Drosophila melanogaster: one gene and its partner. The protein of the gene in region 2 purifies or fractionates together with the protein of the main gene of each other region. This does not show direct contact. Each region holds a gene or a part of one and is shown on either strand. Other genes may lie near its edges. The genes, in order: cDIP and dpr12.

The links.
Region 1: the proteins of dpr12 (region 2) and cDIP purify together in Drosophila melanogaster (affinity purification with western blotting; 2 studies listed by BioGRID). This does not show direct contact.

Annotation. Positions count from the first base shown.
Region 1 is NT_033777.3:21,158,440-21,163,054, forward strand, and holds cDIP (common Dpr-interacting protein), read right to left. Parts: upstream 2,654-4,615; 5' UTR 2,616-2,653; coding exon 951-2,615; 3' UTR 799-950; downstream 1-798.
Region 2 is NT_033778.4:5,802,695-5,807,946, forward strand, and holds the start of dpr12 (defective proboscis extension response 12), read left to right. Parts: upstream 1-2,017; 5' UTR 2,018-2,760; intron 2,761-5,252.

The DNA of each region.
Region 1 (4,615 bases), on a different chromosome or scaffold from region 2:
GTATGTATGGATTTATTCCTAATCACATGCACACGATACTCCGGATCAGCAGATCGACCAGTGATCGTCGAGATCCGTGAAATTGGATTTGTTTCTACTTTCCGTCCTTACGAAGTGGCTGCACTGAAATCGAAACTGTTTGTTTATCTTAGCAATTAGTTAGCCATAAATGTGCGAGTAAGCGAATAGAAGGGATAAAGCATAAATAATTAAAACTGTTCGCATTAGCAGATGGCAATAAAATAACTCGGTTTCTGGTCCATTCGATCGAATTCAATATTGTTGTTTAGTTTCCGAAAATATTGGTTTTGTAATTGACTTGACTTTGTTCAATTCAACTCAAGTTCCCCGAGCCCCACCATCTTGTCTTCGCCCTCCAGTTTTCTTCTCGTTTTTCCATTTTGGTTCGCCAGCCCGAGTTGAACGAACCTCTTTCAATATCTTTCAGAAAAAGAACCCAACTTTGCTTTGCTCGAAAATCAATATTATTGTTTAAATATTATTCTACGTATACGACACAGCGAGCAATAAATATTTACTAGATGTGCTCATGTTGCAAATTGTATTGGTTTTTTGGGGTTGAGTATGCAAAATCAGCAGGGAAATGGAGCAGAAATTGTTTTCGAGATTAGGAATTGAATAGGCGTAGAAAAAAATGATATTCTAGGAAACTAAATCTTAAACAAAGACGAAAAGCCTTCCTGTTTTGTTAGATTATGGTTCCAACTTTGTATATTATCAAGAACTGGTAAAAAAAACATACACGCGAATTCTTTAGTGGAATTCTTCCAACAATTTAAAAAATGATTTATTTATTGGATCGAAAGATTTTATGTTTAAAATTAAGAAGCTTTAGGAAATACTTCAAATATTAATTATAATGTATACATATAATTGTAAAGCTTTGAAAATGTAGTGATCACATAAAAAATGGGCCATATTTAACAACTTCAAACGGACAAGGTCACTTGACTCCAAACAGTTTTGTTGAGCACTTCAAAGGCCTGAATTTGTTCATTCAATTGGGCCAGTTTACTGAATATCAAATCGAACTTGGAATCAAAGTGCTGCACCACTGCTTTCAGTTCATCGCGCAGTTTGTCCACCTCGCTGGGATCAGAACTACTTGTTATGGGCGAGGACTCTACGCTGGCGGAGATTTCCGAAGAGGAGGAGGAGTCCACACCCTCTTTTTCGGGCAAGCGATACATGCAGGCTATTCCGTGAAAGTATTCCCCCGGAAAATCGGGATCGTAGTTATCCACGGTATAGGCAATGCCATTGGCACGAATGAGCACATCCATTATGTTTCTCAGGCTGAAGCAGTTCCAGTTATTTCCATGAATATAGAAGTGCGTTAGTTGCGTGAGCGTGGGGAACGCGGATGGATCGATTTCCGTCAAATTATTGCCGGATATGTCAAGTTTCTGCAAATTTTGCATACCCTGCAACGCCTCCAGCGGCAGTTCCATCTGGCCCGTATTCCGCAGCACCAGCATCTCCAGATGTGGCGTCCGCCAACCGTCGGGCAACTGACCCAGGTTCGGATTGTCCGCCACATCCAGGTGCCGGAGTCTGGGCACGCGGCTCAACGACGCCAGCTGAACCAGCGAGTTGTTGCGCAGCACCAAATGCTCCAGTGCCTCGGAGGCGGGAAAGTACAGCTCGCGCACGCGATTGTCGCTCAGATCGACATTCGTCACCGATCCGTACAAATTGACACGGTCCAGCGAGCAATTGCGAGCGGTCAAATTGGTGGCGTTAATGTTCAGCAGTAGAACGACCAGCTCGGGGTTATTCGATAGATCCACATACTGCATCTGATGGTGTCGTCCGCGGGATCGAAAGGCATACTCGCCCACCTCTCGCAGTCGATTGTTCTGCATTGCGACCGACAAAAGGTCCGGATTGTGGGCAAATAAATCGCTCTCAATGGTGGTCAGTTGATTACCGGCCAGTCCCACGTGCCGCAGACTCTTCAGTCCGGCAAATACGTCCGCGGCTAAAGCCTCCAGGCGATTCTCTGTGAGATCCAGGTACTGTAATTTCAGGAGATTATCAAACGCACCCGCCTGCAGTTTGCCTAGTTTGTTGCGATTCAGGAAGATAAACTCCAAGTTTCCTGCTCCCCTGAAGGTTTTCGTGGGCAGCACTTCGATGTGATTATCGCTGAGCAGAAGAATCACCAGCTTATCCGCACCAATGGAGAAGTTCTCCCAGTAAATGAAGCGGATGCCACAGCCGCGCATGTCCAGCTCACTGACCTCTAGTGTGTAAAATAAGCGCAGGGGAAAATTGGTGAAGGTGCAGTTCTCGAAGATCAGGGTTCGCGAGTGCTCCTCATCGCCCACTTCGTAGGTGGTGCCATCCTCGGCAATCCGCACCTCCGTTGGCAGATCAAAGGTGGCCTTCTCGTCCTCTCCCGCAAACTCAAAGCCCCTGCAGCTGGTCACCTTGCCCTCCGTCTGGCAATGACCTTCCAAGCTGGAGACCAGCACTATTCGGGATGAGCCACTATCCACATCAGCATCCGCGTCCTCATCCGTAGTAGCTGTGGCCGCCAATGAGATCAGCAAATAGCTGCAGAGGAACGGCAGACAATTCCGGACGTACATTTGGCGTGCTCCACGATTCACGTTCGACCTGAAACTGATTCCAAACGTTGACCGCCAAACGCCTGGCCAGATAAGCTCCTCTATAATGCTCAAATAACGATCATCAGTTCTATATAATTGCCATCCCATTCTATTCATGGTGTTCTGATTTTGCGAAAATAAATATGGTTCATCTGTGGCGGGTACAGCGCATTTCGAAAATGTAAGGCAGGGTTTTTTTCTTTTTTTTGAAATCGGATTGAAATACTATTTCTATTTCGAAGAATTGAGATGCTTTGGAAATCACTGCTGACTAATTAATAGATTTAATTACAATTATTTGTCTGGGAACTCCTTTTAAAAGAAATTAACATCTTTTGCTGTACGAGAGAGATGAAAATCGGTTTGTTTTTTTTTGTACCTATCATTATTTTGACACTTGTCTGTGCTGCTTTTCCGTTTATTATTCATGATTTTTTGCTGCTCTATGGAAGTTCTCGCTCTGTTGGCTCCATTCAAAACTCACAGACTTTGAAAAAAAAAACAAAACTTTGTACAATATCTGTGGAGCAATTCCCACTCATTTCCAGTGTGTTCTCTTATCATGAAGTGTTTACTTAGCGATTTGCTGAACAAAAGGTGGAAATCTCTTTTGGCTGCTGATAGTGGACATGAGGCCAGACATTCGCCCATTTTTATGTAAGAGTATTTTCATTGGGGCCCATCCATCTTTGGCTTTTACCATCGAAAATATAGGCGCGTGGAAACGTTGCTTAAAATACCTTCTATATAATTTACACAACAGCCATTTAGCATTTTGTTGGCACTGCCTTGCGTTGTGTAGTTTTGCTGATGATTGCCCGAATGACTCATTATTTATCAGGCGAACAATTCAGTGGAGGGCATTTGAGTTTCGGTTTGATAAGAGCAAACGAACTTCCGTTAACTACTTTGTCGTCTGCATTTATTCCTAGTCTTATTTTTAAAGCAATCAGGCAAGAATGTAGGCACCTTTACACGAAAAACATTCGTAAATATAGCGAAACCAGAACTTTCGCCTGCGAAGCGGTGACATGTCCAGTGGAAAAATGTGTAAAATATTTAGCCAATTATTTAGCCAACATGCCAGCGGTTTTGAGAACACGTTCAACCTGCTTTCTCAGTCGTTCAATTTGCCAGTTGCAGCTTAGCGGGCGAAAACAAAAAGATTATGACAGGTAGAGCCTTATTAATTTGTATGCAAACAAATTTATACGCTTGTTGAAATGTTAAAAATTAATTTTCCATTCGTTTGCGTTGGGATTTTCTCGGCTTTGGCCGCCTGGGCAAACAAACAATTTGAATATCGATGGCTAATTTTTTTCACTTTATGTATTCACAATTGATCTGCCTGTTTGCATTGGGCTTATTATGAGCCAATGGCTTTTAAATTACTCGACTCAAGACGACTTTTGTTCTTTGCATGGCATTTGCCATAGCTGTATCTGTATCTATTGTAGCTGTGTATTGTATCTCAATTGAAACGGCATGACTTCGTTTAGCGTCTTTTTTTCACTTTTTCGCCTGTGCCCCCTTTGTTGAATTCAATTTGCCGCAATTACTTTGCATACAAGTTTCGAGAAATAAAAAAAAAAAAACAAAGAGTGAAAATTACCAGGCTTTTATTCTGTCGAGACTTTGTCCCCGCCGTCTGTACTTTATTCAAATCAAATTCGCCCAATAGTTTAGCAGTGTAAACAAATGCGATATAGAAATATATTAAATCAGAACATATAGCGCACCATTTTACGCCTCTATTGTGGGTGCTTTTATATGGCGCCGTCGGTTTATGGCACTTGATTTATTTCATTGGGTTTATTGGTCATTCGAACGCTAAATGCTCAGGATATCCAAAGGTTGTTCCACCCATCTGACTGCAATGATGACGCAACTAGATGGTGATATAACTGGAAAATGAGCTAATTGCCATTCAAATTGGCAAGTTTATGTCCAAGTGCTTTTGTAAATTTGTTCTAAGGCGG
Region 2 (5,252 bases):
CCTCAAAAGTTCTCCCTTGACGAGCAAATCTTTATAACAATTAGTTCACACCAACTTTGCAAACGTCCATTATCTAGACCAATCAAAAGGTAACGTGTGTCCATTGTTCAAAACTGCACGCTTAGGTGTCCCACACGTAACTTGCTTCCGACTGTCGCTTACCCAAGCCTTTCAGAACTTATGCCCCATTTTAGCATTTACAATCCCCACCCATGGCAATGCCAAAATTGTATTAAAATTACAAAATCAATCCTTAGCAAACAAAAAAAATATATAAAAAATAAAATTTAATTTATATACGACAATATATAATACAAAATGTTAAACTTCAAATCATACATACACTCAGCTGCTATTGCTCATTCATATTGTTAGCTTTTAATTTGCACTAAGCATTTAGCAATAAATAAGTAAATAAAAAAATATTTATAAGATGTAAATATTTGAATATTTATTATTTATTTATTTATTGGCTGAGTCGCGGCCCTCGACAAAGGCACTTCTTGTTGTCACTTGCTCCTTTGGTCGCCAAAAAGCAGGCTTATATTTCATACGAGCTGAAACTGAAAGGAAAAAGTGCAATCGTTGATAATAAACATTACGTTCCAGGTGTCGACAGAAGCAGCACAGTAGGCTGGCGGGGAAAGGTGCGACCAAAGGTGAGCGGAGTCATACTGAATGAACCAAGCATATTGATCATTGACTGAACGGCCGGCGAACATGCGAATCAACCACAAACCCAGAGCCAGATGTCGGCTGTTGTCGGTTGTGTGAGTGCAGTGCAGTTATTTTAGTGAGTGGTGGCAATAATTCAATTCGGTACATTTTAAGCCCGAAAGGCGTACGGCAGCGCGCAGACACGTGCAGGGCGACTCCGCTGCCTAATTAAGGGTACTAGGACTCGAACGACCGCCAATCGATGCAGCTTATACAATTTGCGATCGCACTCCATTCCCAAAACGTTTTCAATCGCCACAGCTTCCTTTGTGCGTCCAGGACGCGCGTCCGGCCAACCGGCGCTCTTCCGCTCCTCCGCCATTCCGCCCTCAAGTCCGCCGCGCGCCAAGGAGGAGCTCATGCAAAAGCAATTTCCTGAACTTTTACCCGACCGCTGATGCAGGCACACAGACTCACAGACACACACGCATCCTCTGGCAGATTAAGACGGCGACCCAACTCGAAACGCATTGGCCGACTCGTGGATGCCACAGCACTTGAAAACCAATACGAATGCGATTATGCCCCTGCAAGAGTGAGTGTGCGTGAGCTGGCGCTCTCGCCCGCACACAGCCACTCCAGCGTGGAAATGGCGGGCTGTAAGTAAGAAATCATTAAGGTTGGTCGGCACACTAATGGAATACGACAAGCGGCATGTGGGAACACACTCTTGCACTTGTCCTGCATCCTGGTGGCCACCGATAGCTGTCGTTGTAGTTGTCAGTTGGCCGGGGGATTTGCTCCACGTTCGGTTTTGGTCACCGCAAAAGTTTAGTTGCAAGTTGCGGCTCCGCTTGCGGCGGTCATCCGTCCGTCGGGCGTGCGTGCCATCTGACTGCCAGTTGCATTAGGATATCAATTTGCGGGACACTGATTCGCCAGTTTACTTGCGAAGTGTGGGTGCCAAAAGAGGTCCGGCTGTTGGGGTCCTTCAGCAGCCAAACGCTCCGGCACGTGACATTGGCAAAGTGAGTTCCGTTCGCAAATGTGACACAATTTGGTCATCTTGGGACCAAGGAATTCAGAGTCTCCGCGAAGACCCCTAAGAGAGAGCGCGAGAGCGAGCGCGGAAAGGACTCTCTTAGGTTACCAGAGCCCTGGAAGCCATGGAATTCAGGTGTAGCGTATGGACTCATCGGGCCAAGTCGGGGACCGAAGGCCATGCGCTGATTCGTGTCGCTGACCTAAAAGCTTGAAGAAGCTTCCGCTCAGCTTTCGCTCAGCTGAGCCAGGCGCAGGCGCAGACGCTCCCTTCCAGTGGCGAGCGGTTTCCGAATGCGTAGGAGTCCTGGTAGTCCTGTCAGTTCACTTCGTTTGCTCGTCGAAAGCTGTGCATGCTGCGGAAGCGACGGCATCGCTCGTTACCCCATTAGCAACAACAACACATCGAGCATTGACATACCATTCAACACAGCAACAACAAGGCCGTACTGAGTGCCGGACTGAGGCTGAGGTTGGATTTGAAGTTGGGGGCTTCCGGCGGCAAAAGTGCGTTTAAAATTACCAAAGTTGTCCCAATTAAAGGGTGCAGCGCGACTAACAAGTTCAAGTTGGATGTTTCGCCGCGCGAGCGACGTATTATCCCTGCGAACTCCTTTGTGCTCGCGGAAACTGGTGCGTGGCGGGCGTAAAATTCGCCAGTGACTCCGCGTTAAGTCAACTGTTCCTGCGAACTACTGCGAGTGCGAGGGCACGTTGCAGCCAACGGTGGCAAAAAGTAAAAGCGGAAACGTAAACCGAAACCGAAACGCCTGAGCGCCAGAGGTATTGAGAATCCGGGAAATCGAGAACAGGCATCGGTAGTGACAACTGTGAAATGTGCGGCTGCATTGTCGTTTTGCCACCACTTTGACCCAAATCGCATTGAATTCGCGTTGTGCCGGAGTGCGGGCTCTGCGGACGCCTAATGGCTTAGTGCGAGCAGTGCATGATCAATAAGCACCAATCGAAGCTCGCGAGTGCCCCACAGCTAGACATAAGAAAACGAGATCCACCAGCAATTGGAATCCTCTGAAGCATCGGTTCCGGGATCAGCCGTACTTGGTAAGTGATTCACAGCTAGTTGGCCGTTTCTCGCTTGTGAGTATGACATGTGGTTGACGGGAGGCTTGGGACTTGTCATCTTCCGCCGCTTCCTTCTGACTTACTCCAGACACGAGTTAGCTTATTTACGTGGGACTTGTAAGTTTGGGCTTTGGTTTATAGCCTGTGGCAAGAACTAACTTGACTGCTGTCAAACATACGACACGAACGTGTCTTGCAAAACACAACACCTCTAACTCATTAAGGGAGGTAAATGCCTAACTGCGTTGGTTATCAACCAAGAAAAGTTTAAATGAAATTAGGATTCGGCTGCACAAAGTCCGCAAGAGGAGGCTTGCAAAGTGGCCACATCTAGGATTCTGCTTAATTCATAGTAGAGAGTATTTTTCAGTGATTATTTTAGATGACTATATCAATGCGGTTTGCTTTCAGTTTTATAGTCAGAGAGTTCACTTAGAAAGGGATACATAAAGCTTATGTATGGTCCAGAACATAACTAATTTAGTCTTGTTTGGGAACACAGAAAGAAGCTGTCAAAACATCAAAAGCACTTGCAACATCGAAGATAAATTGATAGATAGATTAAAACTACTTAGTTTACTGAACAAAGTCCTTCACAACTATATTATCAACCCCCTAAGGTCGATGGGACTACGATATAGCCGGACTGGAGTTGGAAAAACTGCCGAAGCTTATTCATACACGCAGTGGCTCATGCAAATGGGAGATCGGGAATCCGACGGCTTTCTTGTGAAATAACAAAATGAAAGCGCAAGCTAAATATTTGCTAACAAAGTCCTTGGATACGGGCGCTAATGGCGAAGCTTGTTTTTGTGTATGTGACGGAGCCCCCAGCGATAAGGCACGGGGTCTTGTTTTCGTGGGGTTGGCTGGGCGATTAAGTCTGCGTTAGCCGAGACGTCAGAGGAGCGGCCACGCAGAAAGCAATTAAATGTATTTCCGCTCCAATGTCAAAATTAATGCGCGTTTCATATTTAAAAGCGTGAATGCACGTACACACGAGCATGTAGAGAAAGGTCATCGGGACGACAGGATGTGTGCGCGCGGAAGTCCTATGTCAATGCTGGACTGTCACCGGACAAGTGGGTCGAACGAAGCAGGAGCATTTTATCACCTCGGGGACTCACAGGCATGTCCGTAGCCGGACAGCTGTGGGCAAGTGGGGCACGCCCCGTTGCTATCGCCCTGCCCTGCCGGTGAAGCCGGAACCAATGGGGCGGCCCAGTTTTATGACTTGTAGTTCGACACCTCGTGTGCTGGCTAATGAGCGTGGAAGACTTGCGTAATGTGTGTTTATCATCCGCCCCGAGGCCGGCCGACTTTTTTGGTCATGGAACCGCAAATACTCGAATGTATTTAAATTGCAACTCTACTAAAAGGCGATTTGATTTGATTTGATTTTCTGCTGTGCTGTGTGCACGTGTGTGCCTGTGTGCCTGCCAGTGTGTGTCGTATATATGTAGTTCGGCAAGGTTTTTGCTCAACTCTTCCCATAGCAATCTATGCAAAATATTCACAGCCATAAGAGAAAAGTCAAATAAAAAACAACCAATATTTAAATAACGGATTACAAGCCAGTCGGCCAAAGAAGCCGGAGCTGATGCTGCTGCCACAGCAAAAACATAAATGGGAACAAGCGCCGTTGGAGGGCATGTAAGTTTCCCATTTAGTTATGAGGCCCGCTTTTTGGCCAAATGCCTGAACGAGTCGCTGGATCAGTGCGTAGACTGGCTGGCAGCCTGCTGGTGCCTTCTCAACGTTCCTGCTTCATTTCACTTCATTGTGTCTCCGGCGAGAGTCTTTGTTTTTATTCTGTTTTTTAAATCTTGTCATTCCTAGGAGTCCGTTTATTGCACGATGACATCATCTTAGGACGCGTCCTCCGGGGCATTTCACCCGATATTCAAATGCAAAGCTACCTCCCTACCAGGCATAACTACCAGTATTCAACGTACTTAATTGTATAAATTCTATTCCAAACGAACGGTTAAGTATAATTTAAGACGCCGCTGGCCGTTCGATTGCCATTCTGTCCGGGATGAAGCTGTACAATCCGGGCACTGCCAACTTTTAATTTTAATTTATTTTTGTGACTCTTGGTCCGAGCTGACCGGCTTATCTTTCTGCCATTGTGTTCAACCCGCATTGTGCAACCCTTTGCAGATATATATCGGCTGGCATCTTTTAGTGCTTTCCGTTTGATTGCAACTTGCAATCCGAGATTTTGGCAAAGTCCATCGGGCTCCAAGCGCAAAAGCCTGCCAAAGGAGAGAGAAGTGAGTGGATGCTATTAGGGGATAAAAATGGACCAGGCTTTGGGAAAATAAAGTCAATCAAATAGTGTCTTAATTGTTAAAGGGCCGTGAAGGGTTTTATGCCGGAGAATTGGATTTATTCCCAATGCAAACATAAACAATGGGCTGCAAGATGTCGAGCAGCCAATTCAAATTAGATCCCCTGCCTAAAGCTTC